Macaca mulatta: one gene and its partners. Each later gene encodes a partner of the first gene's protein in a complex. Links are inferred from orthologs where the notes say so. Each region holds a gene or a part of one and is shown on either strand. Other genes may lie near its edges.

Region 1 (6,957 bases):
AAATTCTGGTGCCAGAATGAGATTTGCTCTTGGAGAAGGCTGCATTTACTTGTTCACCCTTGAAATACTGCAATCCACCAATTTCTTGATAAAAGGGTGCTCTGGTTTTTTGTTTTTGAGATGCAGTCTCCATCACCCAGGCTGGAGTGCAGTGGCACAATCTCAGCTCACTGCAACCTCCACCTCCGGAGTTCAGGAGATTCTCCTGCCTTGGCCTCCAGAGTAGCTGGGACTACAAGCATCCGCCACCACGGGCAGTCAAGTTTTGTATTTTTTTTTAGTAGAGATGGGGTTTCACCATTTTGGCCAGGCTGGTCTCGAACTCCTAGACTCGTGATCCACCTGCCTCTGTCTCCCAAAGTGCTGGGATTACCGGTGTGAGCCACTGGGCCTGGCCAGGATGCTCTGGTTTTAACTAAAATTAACCTTCATAAAAGGAGAGCTTTCAAGCACTCCTGGAAAGAAGCCGTGGATTAAAGATGTGCCCAGCCATGTAAGCCAGATTTGTGATCATAAGCACAGGGCCGGACTCACGCCTGTAATCCCAGCACTTTAGGAGGCCGAGGTGGGCAGATCATGAGGTCAGGAGTTCAAGACCAGCCTGACCAACATGAGGAAACTCCATCTCTACTAAAAATACAAAAATTAGCTGGGTGTAGTGGCGCGAGGCTGAGGCAGGAGAACGGCATGAACCTGGGGGGCGGAGCTTGCAGTGAGCCTAGGTCACGACACTGCACTCTAGCCTGGGTGACAGAGCAAGACTCCGTCCAAAAAAAAAATGACACAGCTGGTGCTCGTGGAAATTTTTACTTTTCCCACAGTTAAAAACATGATTCTCAACAGCGTGAACTGCCCTTCAAAGATGATGGAGCTGCTTCAAAGTGCATTAGAGGAGCTGGGTATGTAGAAGCACTTCAAGTGTCAGATAAGAAAGTGGTTAGGACTGTGCGTAGCAGCGGCACCTGTGGTCCCAGGTACTCTGGAGGCTGAGGCGGGAGGATCGCCTGGGCTTGGGAGGTGGAGGCTGCAGTGAACGGAGATCGTGCCATAGCACTCCAACCTGGGCGACAGAGCCAGGCTCTGTCTCAAAACAAATGAACTAAAAGCAGGTTAAGATGCGCAACTGATTACCGTTCTGCTGGGCAATTACATGATCCCGTCTGGGTTATCTTTGCTGCAGGACACGCATTATTAACACCGTCTAGACAGGAGGCTTTCATTAAGAGTAAATTGCAGGCTCTGCGTGTATTTTACTTTATAACAGCTGCTTGCCGGGCACAGTGGCTCATGTCTGTAATCCCAGCACCTTGGGAGGCCAGGGCGGGCGGATCACCTGAGGCTCAGGAGTTCAAGACCAGCTTGGACAACCCTAACCCCCACCCTTCCCCCAACACCGTCTCTACAAAAAATTTAAAAAAATTAGTCGGACATGATGGCGCGCGCCTGAGGTCCCAGCTACTCCAGAGGCGGAGGCTACAGTGAGCCCTGATCCCACCGCCGCACTCCAGCCTGGGCGACAAAGAGAGACCCTGTCTCCAACTGACCAGGCAAACGGCGAAAACACACACAGGCGCGTCCCCAAAGAAAGACACCGGCATTAGAGGCCCTGGCCCTCCCCAGCGCAGACCCGCCCGAGCCCAGCGCCGCGCCGGCGCCCACCACCGGGGGCCGTGAGGGTTTCCACCCGAATCTCCCCGGCGAGCTGGGCGCCCCCACTACGGGTCCGCGACGCAGTCCACCCAATGCGGGCCCGAGAGAGGACCCGTGTTCGTCCTCTTCATTCGAGGCAGGGCTGTGTGGCGACGCCACCCGGACTGGAGGCCCCTGGCGGCCCCCAGCCTGTTGTCAGGGGATTCAGGGCCGCACGCCGCTCAAAGAGCCTTCGCGTCCCAAACTCCCGCAACCGCCACAAAACGCCACCAACTCTGGAAATCCACCCGCTTCCGTACCTTTTATAAGGAACCGGGTGCCCCGCCCTCAACGAGATCCCGCGAGAACTGCATATGGCGCGAGAGCAGAAACACCTTACTTTTTCCTGCGGCAAACGCCCAGTTCCCTTTCAAGTGACGAAGAGTGCCCCGCCCCAGAGGCGGGGTCGCCTCGCGCGCACGTACGCACGCACATACGCACGTACGCACGTCTTACGCTTTCTCACGCTAAGGCGTCAGTTCTCGGCCCCGGCAGCGAGAGGAGTCGGGAGGTGGTTTACGCTGTGGCGCGCGCTGTGCTCTTCCGCGGACTCTAAATCATGGCGACCACGGCCACGATGGCGACCTCGGGCTCGGCGCGAAAGCGTCTGCTCAAAGAGGAAGACATGACCAAAGTGGAATTCGAGACCAGCGAGGAGGTGGATGTGACCCCCACGTTCGACACCATGGGCCTGCGGGAGGACCTACTGCGGGGCATCTACGCTTACGGTGAGTGGGCGCGGGCCGCGGGGGCCAGCTGGCGGCGAGCCGGGGGCTGAGAGCCCGACTGGTGACTCCCGGGCCGGCCCTGCACTCCGGAGGTCGTGGTCAGGGTCGAGGCTCGGGGGCCAGTGACGTGCGACCCCCACCCCCACCCCTGCCCTCACGCCTGGCTGTGTCGGCGCGTTCGCTGTGTGTCCCCTGTGCAGAGCTCGGCGCTGGGTCCGTCGGGGGCTACAGCCGCTTCGAGGCACCTCGGAGTCGTTCATTCAGCAGATAACTGTTTTGTACCTACTAACTTTTCTAGTTACTGGGGTTTTGGCGGTAAACCAGATGGGTTTGCGCCTTTACGGGTTTTGAATTTCCTTTGAGGGGACAGCATGCGGTCAGATTGCCCAGGCAGTGGTTGTTGCTGGGAAGAACCCGAAGCTAGGTAATTGAATAGAGTGGGCCTGGGAAGGAGGAGATAATTAGTAAAGCAGAGAGGTAAGGGGGTTCGCAGGAGGGGGTGCCATTTGAGCAGAGGTATGGATGAAGGAGACTTTTAGGAGAGGAGGGAAGAGCAGTTGGGGCAGAAGGAACAGCTGGTGCCAGGGCTTTGCAGCCCTTAGCCAGCTGCATTCCAGGAACTGAAAGAAGTCCCCTGTGGTGGGATTTTGGAGAGCTAGTCAGGGGCCAGATTTAGCAAAGACGTGTAGGGGTGACGAATAATTTGAATTTCATTTGGAAATCTAGTGGGAAGCCACTGGAATGTAGTAAGTAGCTATGTGACACGATCACATTTACAGCTTTAAAGAGTCTTCTGGGTGTCTGTGAATTTCAGGTGAGGCGAGGCAGGGCAGGAGAGGAAACAAGAGTTGGGAAGCTTTTGCTCCAGTTCAGGGAAGAGAGGATTGTGCTGCCTTGGAGATGGAGTGCCAGGGAACTGACAGCATTGGCTGATGGATTGACTGTGAGCGACAGAAGGAGGAGGGTTAGTGTTTTCAGTAACCAGTGGTTGATGCTGCAAACATTTGGCTAGGTAGGCAGCACTCCAGAGAGTCAGAATCAGGAGTTGTCTCTTGGTATGTTTGAAAGATCTGTGGAAGTTGAGAGAGAGCCTGGAGAAGAGGTTGGGTTGGGCACATAGATGGGAATGGCCAGCATCTGGGGTAAATGGCCTGTGTTTAATGCTTGGGACAGGGACATTTTTTATCCTGTAGTTCTCTTTTCTTTCTTTCTGACAGTCCTGCTCTGTCACCAAGGCTGGACTGTAGTGGCATGATCTCGGCTCACTGCAACTTCTGCCTCTGGGGCTCAAGCGATTCCTTTGCCTCAGCCTCCCAAGTAGCCGACCACCATGCCCTACTAGTTTTTGTATTTTTAGTAGGGATGGGATTTTGCCATCTTGCCCAGGCTGGTCTTGAACTCCTGACCTCAGTGGTCTGCCAGCCTCAGCCTCCCAAAGTGATGGGGTTACAGGTGTGAGCCACCCCACCTGGTCTTATCCTGTAATTCTTGATGCCACAACAGTTTGGACAAAGTGAGGCGAAGGTGCTGAGGATGGGTGGTGAGAAAGCATCTCAGCCAGCCTTCCAGCGAGGCTGACAGCCCCACCTGGTTTCCTGGCACTCAGGCAGTCCCTGCCCTAAGACACTGTTGTTAGTTTCCCATCCATGTGCTTGCTCTTCATGAAGAGTTTAAATCATCTGCTATATTTGCTTTTGTGTTAAGATGGGAAATTGTGCTACATTTTCTTTTGTTTCTCATTTTTCACTATGCCCCAGAACTGAACAGAGCTACATTTAAGAGACTACCAAAAAATAACTGAACTAGAGTTTTGTACATAAAGTTTTATTTACTTACTTGAAAAACACATGGTTCTTCTTCAAAATAGCCTCCCCCTTTGGTGTAGTAGTTGCTTCGCAGGAGAGATGGTATGGTAGTTAGGGAGCTGCATCCAGACAGGAGAACAGCGTAGGACACCCCACAGTGTGACCCAAGCAGGTTAAATAGAGTTGTAGACCTGTCAGCAACACACAGACTTAATGCTAGCTAGGAGGAGAGAAGAATGGCTACAGTGACTTTCCTGGTTTTTTTTGTTTTTGTTTTTAATTTAAAAAGTAGTATAGGTTGTTTGTAATCCAGTCAAACCTAAGGAAGTAATTAGAGTAAAAAGTTAGCTGCTTTTCACCCCTCTACTGCAGTAACTGCCAGGAACATTTTGGCACTTCCAGATGCTGCACACCCAGAAGATTATCATTATTATTTTTCTGTATTCTACAATTTGGTGGTTTTTTTAAAATAGAGATTTGTCTTTACAAATAATATCTCATGTTAGTTTAGAAATCCACTTAGTCCGATTCATTGAGCCCCTGGGTTTTGAGAGCTTGCTATGTTGAACACTGGGTTAGGCGGGAGGACAGGTTCAAACAGCAAACCACGTCTGCCCCTGAGGAGCTCACAGTACAGGGTTTCTGTGCTGTCATTGTAGCGAGAGCTATTTTTTTGTTTTTATTTGCAGGTTTTGAAAAACCATCAGCAATCCAGCAACGAGCAATCAAGCAGATCATCAAAGGGAGAGATGTCATCGCGCAGTAAGTTGTCCTGGGGTGCGGCGCGGGGCTGGATGCAAATTTGGGCAGCGCAGTGCAGTTAGATGCTCTGGGATGACTGGTTCCCTCAGCTTCTACACACTCAGTACCAACACGTGCCCTGACTTTAGCCACAGGGTTTAATAATTTTTAAATTTCTGTTCTCTACTATAGAAAGCTTTCATTTTCTTTTTGAGATGGAGTCTCGCTCTGTCGCCCAGGCTGGAGCGCAGTGGCACCATCTCGGCTCACTGCAACCTTTGCCTCTCTGTTTCAAGCGATTCTCCTGCCTCACCCTCCCAAGTAGCTGGGATTACAGGCGCCCGCCACCATGCCTGGCTACTTTTCGTATTTTTAGTAGAGATGGGGTTTCACCATGTTGGTCAGGCCAGTCTCAAACTCCCGACCTCAGGTGATCCACCCTCCTTGGCCTCCTAAAGTGCTGGGATAACAGGCGTGAGTTACTGTGCCCGGCCAAGGCTTTCATTTTCTTAGCCAGCTTTGCTTGGTGGTTTGCTGGCAGGTGGAGTTGTATATAACACAATTTCGGAAAAACAGACTGCTTTTCCTCTGCTCTCACACCACCACCACAGTCATCAGCACAGAAGATGACTTGTGTGGGGGTTTTCCAGCTGGGTGTCCTCCAGTTCAGCTCATACCATCTGCCTGGAGACAGGCCATATCCCACAGGTTGAGGGCTCAGTCCCCTCAACCACCCTCTTTTCAGGCATCAATTATAAGTTTGGATGTCTAGAACTTCTGACCAAGCAGCTTCGAGTTGGCGTTCCCATGATCCCCTCTTTAGGTTGGATTAATTTGCTGGAACAGCAGCTCAGAGAACTCAGGGAAACACATTTAGTGGTTTATTATAAAGGGTGCTGCAAAGGATACAGATATGGGGGCGGGGGTGCAGCCTCCCAGAACCTCCTTGTGTTCCACTGTCTGTGTTCAGCCATCCAGAAGCTCTTCGAACTTGGTCCTCTTGGGTTTCTATGGAAAATTCCATGAGGTCAGCATTCTTTCCCCCGCCCAGGGAATAGGGCAGGAGCTTTTCTAGGATAATACCATAATGCTTTTTAAAAAAATTTTTTTTAATTTAAATTTTTTACTTTTTTTGAGACAGGGTCTTACTCTGTCTCCCAGGCTGGAGTGCAGTTGTGTGATTACAGCTCACAGCAGCCTCAACCTCCCAGACTCAAGTGATTCTCCTACCTCGGCCTCCCAGGTAGCTGGGACTAGAGGCACACATCATCATTTACGTTTTTTATTTTCTGTAGAGACAGGGTTTCCTTGTGTTGCCCAGGCTGCTCTCAAACTCCTGGCAGTCTCCCTGCCTTGGCTTCCCAAAGCCTTGGGATTACAGGCGTGAGCCACTGTGCCCGGCCTAAACATTTTTTGTGTTAAGATATGGGGCCTCACTTTGTCACCGGGGGGAATGCAGTGGTGCGGTCATAGCTCACTGCAGCCTCTAACTCCAAGGATTAAGGAATCGTCCCACCTCAACCTCCCAAGTAGCTGGGACTGCCTGAATGTGCTGCCATCCTGGTTGGTTTTTTGTTTTGTTTAGAAATGGGGTCTCTTCCTGTATGGCCCAGGCTGGTCTCGAATTCCTGGCTTCAGTCAGTCCTGCCTCTGCGTCCCAGAGTGTTGGGAATACAGGCCTGAGCCACCATGCCGTGAAATGAGGGTCTTTATGACTTAAAATCTGAAAGGCAGGGAAGATTAGAGCCCCGCTGTGGAGCAGGCGAAAGGAGAGCAGGTCAGAGAGATTGTTTCCTGAGGCCTAACAAACCCATCAATTTAGTAAGACTGTAACAAGGGCTATGGGAGCTGTGAGCTAGGAACTATGAATGAAAACCTGTATGTAGTCTTATCTCCTAGCACCACAAATCCTCTTTTAATAGCTTTATTCCTCGTTTGCCTAATTTCAAAAAACTCATTTACACAAAAATTTCTTTGGAGGAGTTAGTCCAAAA
Region 2 (6,785 bases), on another chromosome or scaffold:
CTCTGTGCTTCCTTTACTGGAAATCTTATCCTTACATTGTAATTGCTTGTATGCTCCTTAACTTCCTCCTCTGCAAGCTCTGTAAAGAACTGTCTTGCCCAACATTGTATCCTCTCTCTCTGCACATGACACTCAGTGGATGCTCAATAAATGATGCTGAATGCAGGCACGGCAGACACACACAGACCATGCTCTTTCAGTTACACCACGTCTCATATCCAGAAACCTGGATTACTTTACAGCCTGACTGGAGTTGTGTGTCCTTTAAATTTCTCAACACTTTTGTTATTTGCCACATCTGAAGATCCCCAGATTCACTTATGATTTTTATAATTTTACTCCTGGAAAATAACCTTGTAGCAATTGCTTAATCCCTCTACACACTTAACTCTAATTACCACCTCAAAATTGTTGTGATGATTCGAAAAACAAGCACAGGTAATCCCATTCAGCCTAGGAGCTGACATTTATTAGGTGCTTGATGGTTCCCTTTTCTCTTTTTTTTTTTTTTTTTTTTTTTTTTTTTTTTTTTTAGATAGGGTCTTGCTTCGTCACCCAGGCTGGAGTGTAGTGGTATGATCATGGTTCGCTGCAGCCTTGACCTCCCAGGCTCAAATTATCCTCCTACCTCAGCCTCCCAAGTAGTTGGGACTACAGGTGTGCACCACCACACCTACCTAATTTTTAAATTTTTTGTAGAGACAAAGTCTCTCTATGTTACCCAAGCTGGTCTCAAACTTCTGGGCTCAAGTGATCCTTCTGCCTCAGCCTCCCAAACTGCTGGGATTACAAGTGTGAGCCACTGTGTCTAGCCCCCTTCTCTTTTATACAGTTCCCTTGTTACTACCAATATGCGGTGTTTTGTAATAAAAATGTCATGGTTTTATAGCAATTTACAGTTTCCGAGACATTGTTTCTTATAACAGTTCTGCTAGGTGTACGTTTTTATGCTCATTTTAAAGAGAAGGAAACTCTGAAGTCTAAAAAGTTGAGTCAGTTCACCTTTGGTTACAATGAGTCATTGTTAAAACAAAAGATTTTAACCAGTGTCCAATGGTTTTTTTCCCCCACCACACCTACTCTACACTCTGCTGCTAATGCTTTTTCAGGGAGAAAAGGACTCATTGTTAAGACTGGGGGCCATGCACGGTGGCTCATGCCTGTAATCCCAGCACTTTGGAAGGCTGAGGCGGATGGATCGCCTGAGGTCGGGAGTTTGAGACCAGCCTGGCCAACATGGTGAAACCCTGTCTCTACTAAAAATACAAAAATTAGCTGGATGTGGTGGCACGTGCCTGTAATCTCAGCTACTTGGGAGGCTAAGGCAGGAGAATCACTTGAACCCAGGAGGTGGAGGTTGCGGTGAACTGAGAACCAGCCGTTGCACTCTAGCCTGGGCAACAAGAGCAAAACTCTGTCTCAAAAAAAAAAAAAAAAAAAAAGACTGGGGGTAGGAATCAGAGACTGCTGTCCCGACTTACAGAATCTTATACTGTTCTAGTTGCCAGGCCCCAAGAATGATGTCATCTCAGCACTGTCTCTAGAACCATTCATTCTCTCTAAGTGTGGAACTTAGACGAGTGAGAGCAGGCTCCTATTAAATAATTATGATCTTGATTGCTCTGGCCCTACTCAACTGTAAATTTTTTCCAGAGCCAGAATGGCTTCACAGAGGACAACTTTGCTCTGAAAAGAGTCTCTTTGGTCAGTGGTCCTCAACTGAGAGCTTTACAAAGAGTACCAATGCCCAGTTCCAGCGCTGGAGATTTTAATTGGCTTGGGGTAGAGCCCTGGCATCAGTATTTTTAGAGGCTCCCCAGGTAATTCCAATGTGCAGCCAGGCTGAGAATCACTGCTCGGTAAGTGGGATGACTGGGGAGTGGGAGATCAAATACTCTAACTTCTCACAGCACCTATTCTAGAGATCAGTGGGGCAGAAAGATAGAAATAAAAGGTGGAAAAGGACGAAATGGGTAAGTGTGGGTGAACTAGTTCCAGGGAAACGGCAATCTCCACTGTGGATTCAGGGAAGGCGTCACTGAGGGCTTTCTTAACAGTTCAGGTCAATGGAAGCCATCTTGAGGCACACACATCGTGCGCGGCATCCTCCGGGAAGGTCGGGTCATTTCACCCCATTTTACTGCCGAGATGACCTAGGTCCAGAGACGGTAAAGAGCGGTGTACGACTCACACAAGTCGGGGGTCCTGTGAACTGAGGTTGAGCCTGGCGGGGGCAAGGCTCGGGGTGTTCGGTCCGAGATCTTTAAGCGAAGTCACCAGACCCCGCGTTCAAAGCCCAGAGGTAGGCAGGCGGCTGGCTCTCGGCCTCAGGCCGGGAGAGAACCCAGCGGGTACCAACCTCAACCTCGCTCCCGCGTCCAGGTGGAGAAGCGGAGCTGGTTGGCCCCGCCTCCGGGTTAAACAAAGTTCGTTACCTCCTAGGCGTGAGAGGGTGTGGCAGTCTTGTTGTCACTTCCGGGCGAATAGGTTAGCTAGAAGGAACCCCTCCATTACGCGACGGCGTAATCTGACGTCACTTCCGCGCGCCGCCGCAAACGTCAGTGTCGGGCGCAGACCGCAGCAGTGCGGCTTGCTGTTGGAAGTTCAGGCTCGGTTGTCTTTTGGGAGCCATGGAGAGTGACTTTTATCTGCGTTACTACGTGGGGCACAAGGGCAAATTCGGCCACGAGTTCCTGGAGTTTGAGTTCCGACCGGATGGTAAAAGCAGCCTGCCGCCCGCCGGGAGCGGGACCAGGCCTTGGGGCGGGCGAGTGGGGAGGCCGAGGGTCGGAAATCTGTGGGGAACTAGAGGAGGAAGGGGCTGAGACCTGTGCAGTGCGGATCTGAAAGGAGCGCCACTGTGTCTGCTCCACGGCGTCGTTTTATCCATACAACAAACGTTGGCTGAACGCCCACTGTGTGCCAGGCTCTGTTCCACTCTTTGGGGATACGACAGCGAAGATAGACAAACTTCCTCTCTCGTGGAACTTGTGTTTTACTGCTGGGAGAGAGATCATAAAAAGATGATTCCGGATAGCAGTGAGTGGTCAGAAAATATGGTAGAATCGCTGGATGGGCTGCTTTTAGATAGGTTGGCCATTAGAGAGCTCTAATGGTATATTGCAGCTGAGCCCTAATTAGCAAGAAGGACCCAGCCTTGTGAAGCTCACAAGGAAGACCATTCTACCCAAAGGGAATACCAGAAGTCAAGGCTGCAGGGCGGGAATGAGCTTAGGCATGTCTCAGGTGGTCAGTGTGATTGAAGAGTGGTGAGCTGGGAGATGGCAGGAGATGATGTCGGATAGGTAGTAGGAGCCGCACCTTGTAGATCTTTATAGACCATGGTAAAGAGTTTGGACTTGGAAGGCTTTTTTTATTTTATTTATTTTTTTTTTTGAGACGGGTTTCGCTCTTTTTGCCCAGGCTGTAATGCTATGGCGCGATTTCGGATCATTGCAACCTCCGCCTCCCGAGTTAAAGCGATTCTCCTGCCTCAGCCTCCCGAGTAGCTGGTATTACAGACACCCACCACCACGCCCGGCTAATTTTGTATTTTTAGTAGAGACAGGGTTTCACCAGGTTGGCCAGGCTGGTCTCGAACTTCTGACCTCGGGCGATCCGCCGGCCTCGGTGTCCCAAAGTGCTGCGATTACAGGCGTGAGCCACCGCGCCTGGCCGGGCTTGGAAGGTTTTAAGCAGAGAAGAAATGTGATCTGTTCTTGAAAAAGCATTCTGGTTATTGGGTGCGGAATGGGCAACAGTGAAAACAGGGCTATTGATTAGGAGACTGTTGTCAAGACAAGAAAGATGTTGGGGGCCAGTCGCAGTGGCTCACGCCTGTAATCCCAGGACTTTGGGAGGCTGAGGTGTGCGGATAACTTGAGGTTAGGAGTTCGAGACCAGCCTGGCCAACATGGTGAAACCCCGCCTCTACTAAAAATACAAAAATTAGCCGGACGTGGTGGCAGATGCCTGTAATCCCAGCTGTTCGGGAGGCTGAGACAGGATAATCGCTTGAACCTGGGGCGGAGGTTGCAGTGAGCTGAGATAGTGCCAGTGTACTCCAGTCTGGGTGACAGAGCGAGACTGTGTCACAAAAAAAAAAAAAAAAAAAAGATGTCGGTTGGGACTACAGAGATAGTAGAAATGGAGAGAAAGATTTAGGAAACTGTTGGAGGCAGAATCAACTGGACTTTGATCGTTGATAGGATTTTTTTGGCGGAGGCACTGTGGTGAAGGAAAGAGGAATCAAAGATGACAGAAAACATCCATTAAGCGGGCCACAAAGATGTATCTGACAGGCCCCGACTGTGAGGGAGATGGATTTGTAAGCAGGGACCAAACAGCGTATTAGGTGTTGTGGTAAAAAGAAACAGAGGAGACTTGCAGCAGAGAAGGGGCACCTAGCCAAGCCTGAGGGTCAGAGGAGGCTTCCTACATAAAATGATGGGAGGAGGGGATGTGAGGTATTGGTTAGGAGACCAAGAAGAGTCAAGAAGGCATTTTAGACAGCATGCAAAGAGGCTGAAAACCAAAAAGTGCTTGGGATGTTTCAGGCAGAAACCAAGTTGTTCGACTCCAGCTGTGTGAGAGAAGAATATTGCAGGAGTGAGGCTGGAAAAGCAGGCAGGGGCTTTGCTTAGCCGTATGCCATGTTGAGGAGTTTGGATTTTTTTTTTTTTTTTTTTTTTGAGATGGAGTCTTGCTCAGTTGCCCAGGCTGGAGTGCAGTGGCACGATCTGGGTTCACTACAAGCTCCGCCTCCCGGGTTCACGCTATTCTCCTGCCTCAGCCTCCTAGGTAGCTGGGACTACAGGCGCCCGCCACCACGCCTGGCTAATTTTTTACATTTTTAGTAGAGACGGGGTTTCACCGTGTTAGCCAGGATGGTCTCGATCTCCTGACCTCGTGATCTGCCCGCCTCGGCCTCCCAAAGTGCTGGGATTACAGGCGTGAGCCACCGCGCCCGGCCGGATTTTAACCAGGAAGGCAGCGGAAAGCCATTGACTTTATCAAAGTATTAGAGTAACCTAATCTGATAGATCTGTTACCACATCACCTTGTCCACTATATGGACAGTGAACTGAATGTGAAGAAACTTGAGGCAGAGAGACAGCACAGAGACCGTTGGAATAAATTCACTGGGCTCATCTCACATGTATGTCTTCTAGTCTACATGTCTTCTGTTTCCTTCTATCTTCTCCTCATCCCCACCATGTATTCACATTAACCTGTTAGACGCACACATGGACAAAGGGTCTTGTGTACCAAATGTGCTCAGTGATAAAAGCAACAACTTTTCCATCACAGAAATAGAGTGTGGCACAGTCACATGATAATATATGTAAACAGCATCCTACAGTTTTCAAAATGTTTTCACAACTCATTTGAGCCTCAGGAGGTCCTATGTGCTGGTAAGTTATCATTTACTCTGCCTGTTTTCAGGACATTCACCTGCAAAAATGTGATTCGACAAAGTCAGAAAAGAGCCTGCCTGTGTTTTTACCTCACCTGAGCTGCTTTTTGCAGTAGTTGAGTGTCAGCTGTATATTTGGCTGTTTAAGCCTGAAGTGAAGAACTGAAAGACTAGTATTGTTGAACTACCTTAAGAGTAAATAATAAATGTCTTAGACACTTTGAGCAAGTTGGATACATTTTAGGCAACTGCCGATAGTCTTGGTATGGTATTGATGCTTTATTCATGTTTTTATTATATGTTGAATTTGGCTTTTGTCCCCACAGGGAAGTTAAGATATGCCAACAACAGCAATTACAAGAATGATGTCATGATCAGAAAAGAGGTATGCCTTCTGAGAGGCCTTCATTTTCTACATTTCAGCTTTTTGTCTTGCATTGTTTTTGTTGTATCTAGTATTGAAAGGTAAAGAACAGGGAGAGAGACACATGTCTGTAGACAGCTTCTGGATTATTTCCCAAATCATCTTTTAGTTGGGATTTTTTTATTTTACAATGTGGAATCAATTACTGGTAACCATTGACATACCTTGGTTTGAACCCTGAGTCTGCTGCTTACTACCTCATGTGACAGTGGGCAAGTTCCTGGCTGAACTTGATTAAATCTCTGTTTCTTCACCTGCAAAAACAGGGAAAATAAAAGCTACCTCCCACTCCCAAGTGCTGTCATAAAATTAAATGTGTTATACTTAAAGTGCTCTATATATTCCCTGGCACATAGTACACAATGGAGAGCTATTTAATTTGCATCTGAGTGGGAAAGGGAGCATGGGAAAGCAGTTGATATCATTGAATGCATGTTAGATGTCAGGCATGGCATCTTATTTAACCCTGATTATAAGCCCATATGATGGGGGAGGGTATTATAGCCCCCTTACAAATAAGAAAATAAAGGCCCAGATATTAATTATGAGACTTGTTCAGAGTTACCCCTGCTAGTAAGAGATACAGCAGGAATTCCCAATTAAAGGAATTCCCCAGTAAAGTTTGTATTCTCCTCTCTGTGATTTCTACTACATCATTAAGGCTTCATCAAAGCTACTCTTTTAACCACTCTGCCACCTTTGAAAATGTCTTAGCATATATTTTTCATACTGTTGTTTTAGCTATCAGTTTCATGCTTATTCACACATGTCAACATTCTCACTATTTTTTTACACAGGCATATCTTTTCAAATACATTTTGCTCCTCAGGAGCGTATTACCTAGTTAAGAATAACTGGCCGGGCGCGGTGGCTCACGCCTGTAATCCCAGCACTTTGGGAGGCCAAGGTGGGCGGATCACGAGGTCAGGAGATGGAGACCATCCT
Region 3 (7,044 bases), on another chromosome or scaffold:
CTTACATAGTTACACATTCTGGTAACCATAGTTCCATTTAGGTAAACATGAAGATGAACACTGCCACATGTGCCAAAAACCTGAAGGAGAGACATTAGGGAATCTAATATTGAATGAGGCTTTCCATATAATTCAACAAAATGGATTACAGCTGATATTTCCAGAGATACTATGGAATACAGTGCTCAAATTTCTGTGAATTATTCTCGTGATAAGTGTGGTGACCAACCCATCTCAGTTTTCCTAGGTGTTTCCAGGTATGGAAAGTCCCATGTCCCAGTAAACTCCACAGTCCTGGTCAAACTGGAATGGCTAGTCACCCTAGTGATAAAACATGGTGCTTGCTGTTTCTTACGTACTTTCCAAAACGGTGGCCTATTGTAGGGATTGATTCATTTTTCTATACTAATAGTTATATAAGTACTAACATGGATTCAAGGAAAAGTGGCTCAATTTGCCTTTTTAGTCATTCTACTTAAACCTTATGCTCTAGCTATACCGAATTTCGTGGTGTTCCCAAAATATGCATTTCACCCACTGTCTTTGCTCAGGTCATTTTCTGCCTGGAATGCTTTTTCATCCCACTGAACATAAACAGAACTTACTTCTCAAGGTCCAATTCAAATACTTCCGTTGATAGTCCTTCTCCAATACTCTTTTTACAAATTTACCTACTCTGCAATAGAATGCTCTTGATTCCTCTGCTGTACTACCAGCATGTTTTACACACACAAACACACACATTTATATATAAAATATATATTTATATATAAATGTGTGTGTGTATGTGTGTGTGTGTGTGTGTATATATATATATATATATGTATATATATATATAGACGAAGTTTTGCTTTCCTCACCCAGGCTGGAGTGCAATGGCGCGATCTCCGCCTCCCGGGTTCAAGCGATTCTCCTGCCTCAGCCTCATGAGTAGCTGGGAATACAGGCGCGTGCCACCAGACCGGCTAATTTTTGTATTTTTAGTAAAGACAGGGTTTTGCTATGTTGGCTAGGCTGGTCTTGAACTCCTGACCTCGGGTGATTTGCCCCCTTTGGCCTCCCAAAGTGCTGGGATTACAGGCATGAGCCACTGTGCCCGGCCACGTATCATCTTCTTCCTCCTCCCCTTCCCCCTCCCTCCTCCTCCTTTTTCTTTTCCTTTTCCTTTCCTTTTTTTTTTTTTTTTTTTTTTTTTTTTGAGACGAAGTTTCGCTCTTGTTGCCCAGGCTGGAGTGCGGTGGGATCATCTCAGCTCACTGCAACCTCTGCCTCCCAGGTTCAAGCGATTCTCCTGCCTCAGCCTCCCGTGCAACTGGGACTACAGGCACACGCCACCACGCCCAGCTAAGTTTTTGGTATTTATAGTAGAGACGGGGTTTCACCATGTTGGCCAGAATGGCACATATATTCTTAATTATAGCAATTGCTCCATTGTGCCGATATTTGCCTTACAAGTTTGCTTTCTTTTCTAGACTACCAGTGCAAATGCCTTTTTATTTCTAGTTTCAAACTGTCACATAGGAAATGTTTGTTAAAACTAACGTTTTATAAAATTTAAAGCTTATTTTACATATCTCATTTGATCTCTCAAGAATTCTGTGAGCTTGGCAATGTAGATTGCTGTATATGCCTTAGGCTGATGAATAAACAGGCTTAGAGAGTCACTTGCCCGAGGTTAGGTAGCTGTAAGTGTTGGGATTGAATCCCAGGTCTTCTCACCACCACTTTCTACAAAAATCACTGAAGGTTGTCAACCAGCAGAGAGGATTACTCTCTGTGTTGATAACAAAAGGGTGATCAATAATATTTAAAAAGCAGACTTTGTGTAAAAGTCTTTCCCTTACCTTAAAAACTATGCCACAATGGAGCATTCTTTCATTCCTCCAATTTAATTATATCTGGCGAGAAACAGTAATGGGCTAAACCATTGTTGTATCTTAAGTCAAATTGCCAAAACTCCACAGGCTACTAAAAGTTAACCCTTACTGAATGAATTAAGAACCATAGAAGTTCTGCTGTTAAAAAACAGCACGGTGACAGTCAGGGTTTTTCAGGCGTAGGGGGTGTGTGTTTTAAGACTTTAAGCCAGTTTTGTCCCACTGAAATCACCGTCAGTGATTTTTAGTAGAAAGTGGTGGTGAGAAGACCTGGGATTCAATCCCAACACTTACAGCTACCTAACCTCGGGCTAGTGACTATCTCTAAGCCTGTTTGTTCTTCAGCCTAAGGCATATACAGCAATCTACATTGCCAAGCTCACAGAATTCTTGAGAGATCAAATGAGATCTCTTAAGTTCTTTGCTGTGATGGATTCCTTTGACTTTGTCTCTATTATTATAGGCTTATAGGTCCGGGGCAACTACCAATCGTTATTCAAAGGGGAAAGCACCCTGTTAGAAATCAAGTAAGAAAAATGGTTTATATTCCCGGTCTGCCATCTCTATTCTAAGCTTTATCTTTATTTAGCTCCCAGTTAAAGGGGGAATAGAGCCACACCCACCTCACAAACGCCCCGAGGACTGGGAGACCAGAAAAGTAAAAGCCACTTGCAAACCTAATTTAGCTCTAAGTCGATAAAAAATACTATCATATGCTCACATTTCTAATATTTGCTAATATAATGTAATCTTTATTTTGAAAATAATGTGCCTCCAATCCTAGTAAAGAGAAAGTCACGGCATGCGACTCTCCCTTCAGCACCAACTGGCCTCTCACGCGAGACTCGGCTTTCATGCTTTAGTCCAGGACTGCACGGCAGGCGGAAGAGAAGCGCCTGTGGTGACGCACTTATTCCGCGCGATGACGTGACTACAAGGCGCCGGGGGACACGTTGGCTGGGTTTTCGGCGGGCTTCTCGGGGACAAAAATGGCTATGGCTAGCGATTTCTACCTGCGCTACTACGTAGGGCACAAGGGCAAGTTTGGGCACGAGTTTCTGGAGTTCGAATTTCGGCCGGACGGTGAGAAGAGGCCCACGGCACGCGGTGCTGGGAAAGGGGAGCGAGACCGAGAGGCCGTGGAGGAGGCGAGGGGAGGCCGGGTGGTGTGGAGGGTACAGGGGGCGGAGGCCACTGCTTCCCTCGAAGGAAATAGGAGCTTAAGAATAGAGGAGGCCTAAGTTGGTTTTATAAATGAAAGAGAACTAATTGCAATAAATTAAAGCTAATCCTGTCGCAAACTGAAAAGTCGAACTTACAGTAATCAGAATTCTGTAACTGCACCAGAAGGGACTCTGTAGATTGTTGACCTGGATTAAAAATGCTAGCACTTTTTTGAAAACACCCCCATCAGCGGGTGGTCCAATGGATGAATAAAATCTTGTGGTGACCAGTACCTTTTCTTCATTCAGGCTGTGTGTGTTCTTTGAAGGGGAGGAGCCCGACGTGTTAACAAATGAGAATAATAATATGTTTTAGGTGTCTACGTATAATTGTTCACCACAGGACGCATGAAGAGTACCAAAAAAGAGGGGAGATGTAAAGTTCCACAGGAGGGAGTCAGGAAAATCTTCCTAGAGGAAGACACTCTTGAGATGAGTCTCGAAATGAGAGACTTGGCCTTTGAGAGAAAAAAACAGACTTCCAGAGCAGTGAGAGCAGAGGACGAGGTGAAACTGCTACCCCAGTAGCGTGCAACAATTTGTTTTCTGACAGCGCTATTAGAGAATGTTACATTGGTCCTGCCTACCTGCAACAAGAAAGTTCATTTGGATATATATGTTTTGGTTTTTTTTAAATGCACGTTTTTTGCTGGGCAACAAGCAAATACAAAATTTGAAGGTACACTAATGAGTAAGACAAATTTAACTCAAAGAGATTTGTCTTGGTGGGGACACAGACATTTAACTATAAAGCAGTAGGTATATTAATAAGCAGGCTTTGGACAATGTTCTGTGAGAGCAAGAATAAAAAATTAGAGGAGAAACGTATATTAGGAAAGGAGAAGAGTATCAAGCATTTCAGGCAGAACTCACGTGAACTACAGTCCTGCAATTATTACTTTGAAACAGAGTCTCACTCTGTCACTCAGATCTGAGTGCAGTGGCACGATCTCAGCTCACTGCAACCTCCGCCTCCCAAGCTCAAGTGATCCTTCACCTCAGCCTCCCGAGGTGCTGGAAATACAGGCCAGTGCCACCTCGCCCATCTCCTTTGTTGTTGTTGTTGTTGTTGTAGAGATGGGTTTCCGCATGTTGCCCAGGCTGTCCTCAAACCCCTAAGGTCAAGAGATTCACCAGCCTCAGCCGCCCGAAGTCCTGGGATTACACGCATGAGCCACCGTGCCAGCCCTGCAATTATTTAGAAACCTTAATCACTGTATTCGACCTTACTCTCCCCATAAATTCAGCTAAATTTACCTGAATTCATCTATTCTTTATGTAGTATTATTTTCAGTTCCTCTGCCTGTGAACACCGTCAAGCTTGTCTCTATTACTTTTAGCAGGTCACATAAATTAAGCACCTGAATATTATCAGGGAAGTTTTATGCTAGAACAGTGGTTCTAATCAATGTATCTGCCACTGCACTGTTACACATACTTCTTCTATTGGTAATATTGAGTCTCCCGAAGACCTGCCTGCCTGCCTGCCTGCCTGCCTTCCTTCCTTCCTTCCTTCCTTCCTTCCTTCCTTCCTTCCTTCCTTCCTTCCTTCCTTCCTTCCTCTTTCTTTCTCTTTCTTTCTTTCTTTCTTTTTCTTTCTTTCCTTCTTTCTTTCTTTCTTTCTTTCTTTCTTTCTTTCTTTCTTTCTTTCTTTCTTTCTCTTTCTTTTTCTTTTTCTTTTCTTTTTTTCTTTCTTTTCTTTCTTTCTTTTTTTTGAGACAGAGTGTTGCTCTGTCACCCAGGCTGCAGTGCAGTGGTGCGATCTCAGCTCACTGCAACCTCTGCCTCCTGGATTGAAGCGGTTCTCCTGCCTCAGCCTCCCGAGAAGCTGGGATTGGAGGCATGTGCCACCATGCCCGGCTACTTTTTCGTATTTTTAGTAGAGATGGGGTTTCTCCATGTTGGCCAGACTGGTCTCGAACTGCTAACCTCAGGTAGTCCACCTGTCTCGGCCTCCCGAAGTGCTGGGATTACAGGCGTGAGCCACTACGCCTGGTGCCAAGCCATCAAAGACTGGCATTTCTATCATTTTAGAGTAACTGCTGCACATTATAGCTGTGTCTGGGCAACTGACTAGCCATAAGGGGAAGCATACATCAGATAATACACAAATCATGATGGATTAAAATTAAATATAAACTAGCTAACAAACTCATCAACTTCGATCCAGAAGCATCGTTTGTATCCTTCTTAGTCATAATTCTAAAATGTCTACAATATAATTGTATGCATACATTTGAAGGAAAAAAAGGAACATTTTTTTGTAGTGGAGAAAGCCTGAGTATTAAAAGAAAGTAGATCTAGGTCTGAATCTCCCATGTTTAAGTTACTTAACTTTGTTTTCTCTCTTATGAATAGGTGAGAGAATAAAACCTGATTTTTAGGATTGTTTTACAGATTAGATTAAATTCTCTGTGTAATGCACTTAACACCAATACATACATATAACAAACTTGAATGTTAGTGCAGATTCTCTTTCTAGTTCATGATGTAGCTTAAGAAAATAGGCCGTAAAAATGACCCTATATCTATATGTTGTAGGCATAGACTATTTAAATATTTGGCTATCTTCAACTTCAGCAAACTTAACCAGCAAATATTTATTGTCTACATGTCTAACAATGATTTTACACAAGGAGGGAGGAAATAATAAAAGTAGTATAAAATGGTCTTTACCTTTAAAATTGTATATGATGTCATTAATTTTTTTTAGCAGTTTTTGCTATTGTAAATTGATTTTTTTCCATTTCCCACAGGAAAGCTTAGATATGCCAACAACAGCAATTACAAAAATGATGTCATGATCAGAAAAGAGGTAAGTTCTATTCGAATGTCTTTTTTTTTTTTTTGCATTTAGCCCATTTTCTTCAAGTCTATGTTGAATTTACAAAAGTACATCTAAGGCTATATTGTAAAGAAGAAGGCAATTTACAGATTGAAAGAGTTGCCATTTAAATTAGATACAATGGTTGCATCCATAGGAATGAGAAGGTTCAGAGAACTAACCTTGTTGTGAACTACACTTGCATTTATTTATTTATTTTTATTTTTATTTTTATTTTTTGAGACAGAGTCTCGCTCTGTTGCCCAAGCTGCAGTGCAGTGGCGTGATCTCAGCTCACTGCATCCTCTGCCTCCCAGGCTCAAGCAATTCTCCTGCTTCAGTGTACTTGCATTTATTACTGTTCACCTTATAGATCTTGTGATCTAACCACTTGGGGGTATTTGGATCTTAATGTTACAAAGGCAGAATACAGTGTTTCAAAGACGGGTAATGATGAGAAGAGGGAAAAATAAATGTGAGAGGAAAGGGCAAGAGATGAAGAAAAGTAATATAACAAGGATAAATGATTCTCTCTCATTCTCTACTTTTGGAATCAATTAAATTTTTCTATATTCCTCTATTTGAATATTCAGAGTTTGTAACTCTTATTTCTTTCTGAGTTGAGGGGTGACATAGGTGGACATTATCCAATTTTATTATGATTAATTTTTAGGCTTATGTGCACAAGAGTGTAATGGAAGAACTGAAGAGAATTATTGATGACAGTGAAATTACAAAAGAAGATGATGCTTTGTGGCCTCCCCCTGATAGGGTTGGCCGACAGGTTTGTATTTAGTGATTCTTTAAGTGCATAAATATTAAAAATTGATAATACTATTATGATTCCCCTTATTTATTTTGAATGAGTCTAAGTTGATTCTTTGGCTTTCCATTTAATAGACACCTGGTAAATTCTCTTTAATTTTGTCTTTTAGTTCCGTTTTTCTGTGCTACCTCCTAGTAGTGAAGGAGTCAGTGCATAGCTCTAAATTTAGATATCTTTCTCTGTAGTCACCCTAGCCAACATTAGGATGCTTTCACAGTGCAGTGTTATGAATAATTTCTGTTGTGTGTTAATCACTTTTATTAAGAATATGACTATGTAAAATTTACTTTTGCC

What was found.
Region 2: EIF4A3 (region 1) and MAGOH share a complex: the UniProt entries of both Homo sapiens proteins name them as parts of the ALYREF/THOC4-EJC-RNA complex. The link is inferred for Macaca mulatta from reciprocal best matches to the Homo sapiens genes EIF4A3 and MAGOH.
Region 3: EIF4A3 (region 1) and MAGOHB share a complex: the UniProt entries of both Homo sapiens proteins name them as parts of the mRNA splicing-dependent exon junction complex. The link is inferred for Macaca mulatta from reciprocal best matches to the Homo sapiens genes EIF4A3 and MAGOHB.

Annotation. Positions count from the first base shown.
Region 1 is NC_133421.1:89,832,095-89,839,051, reverse strand, and holds the start of EIF4A3 (eukaryotic initiation factor 4A-III), read left to right. Parts: upstream 1-2,205; 5' UTR 2,206-2,248; coding exon 2,249-2,417; intron 2,418-4,911; coding exon 4,912-4,984; intron 4,985-6,957. UniProt on the Homo sapiens protein: ATP-dependent RNA helicase. Involved in pre-mRNA splicing as component of the spliceosome. Core component of the splicing-dependent multiprotein exon junction complex (EJC) deposited at splice junctions on mRNAs.
Region 2 is NC_133406.1:187,367,783-187,374,567, forward strand, and holds the start of MAGOH (protein mago nashi homolog), read left to right. Parts: upstream 1-2,557; 5' UTR 2,558-2,630; coding exon 2,631-2,718; intron 2,719-5,742; coding exon 5,743-5,801; intron 5,802-6,785. UniProt on the Homo sapiens protein: Required for pre-mRNA splicing as component of the spliceosome. Plays a redundant role with MAGOHB as core component of the exon junction complex (EJC) and in the nonsense-mediated decay (NMD) pathway.
Region 3 is NC_133416.1:9,992,582-9,999,625, forward strand, and holds the start of MAGOHB (protein mago nashi homolog 2), read left to right. Parts: upstream 1-2,816; 5' UTR 2,817-2,866; coding exon 2,867-2,960; intron 2,961-5,856; coding exon 5,857-5,915; intron 5,916-6,597; coding exon 6,598-6,708; intron 6,709-7,044. UniProt on the Homo sapiens protein: Required for pre-mRNA splicing as component of the spliceosome. Plays a redundant role with MAGOH in the exon junction complex and in the nonsense-mediated decay (NMD) pathway.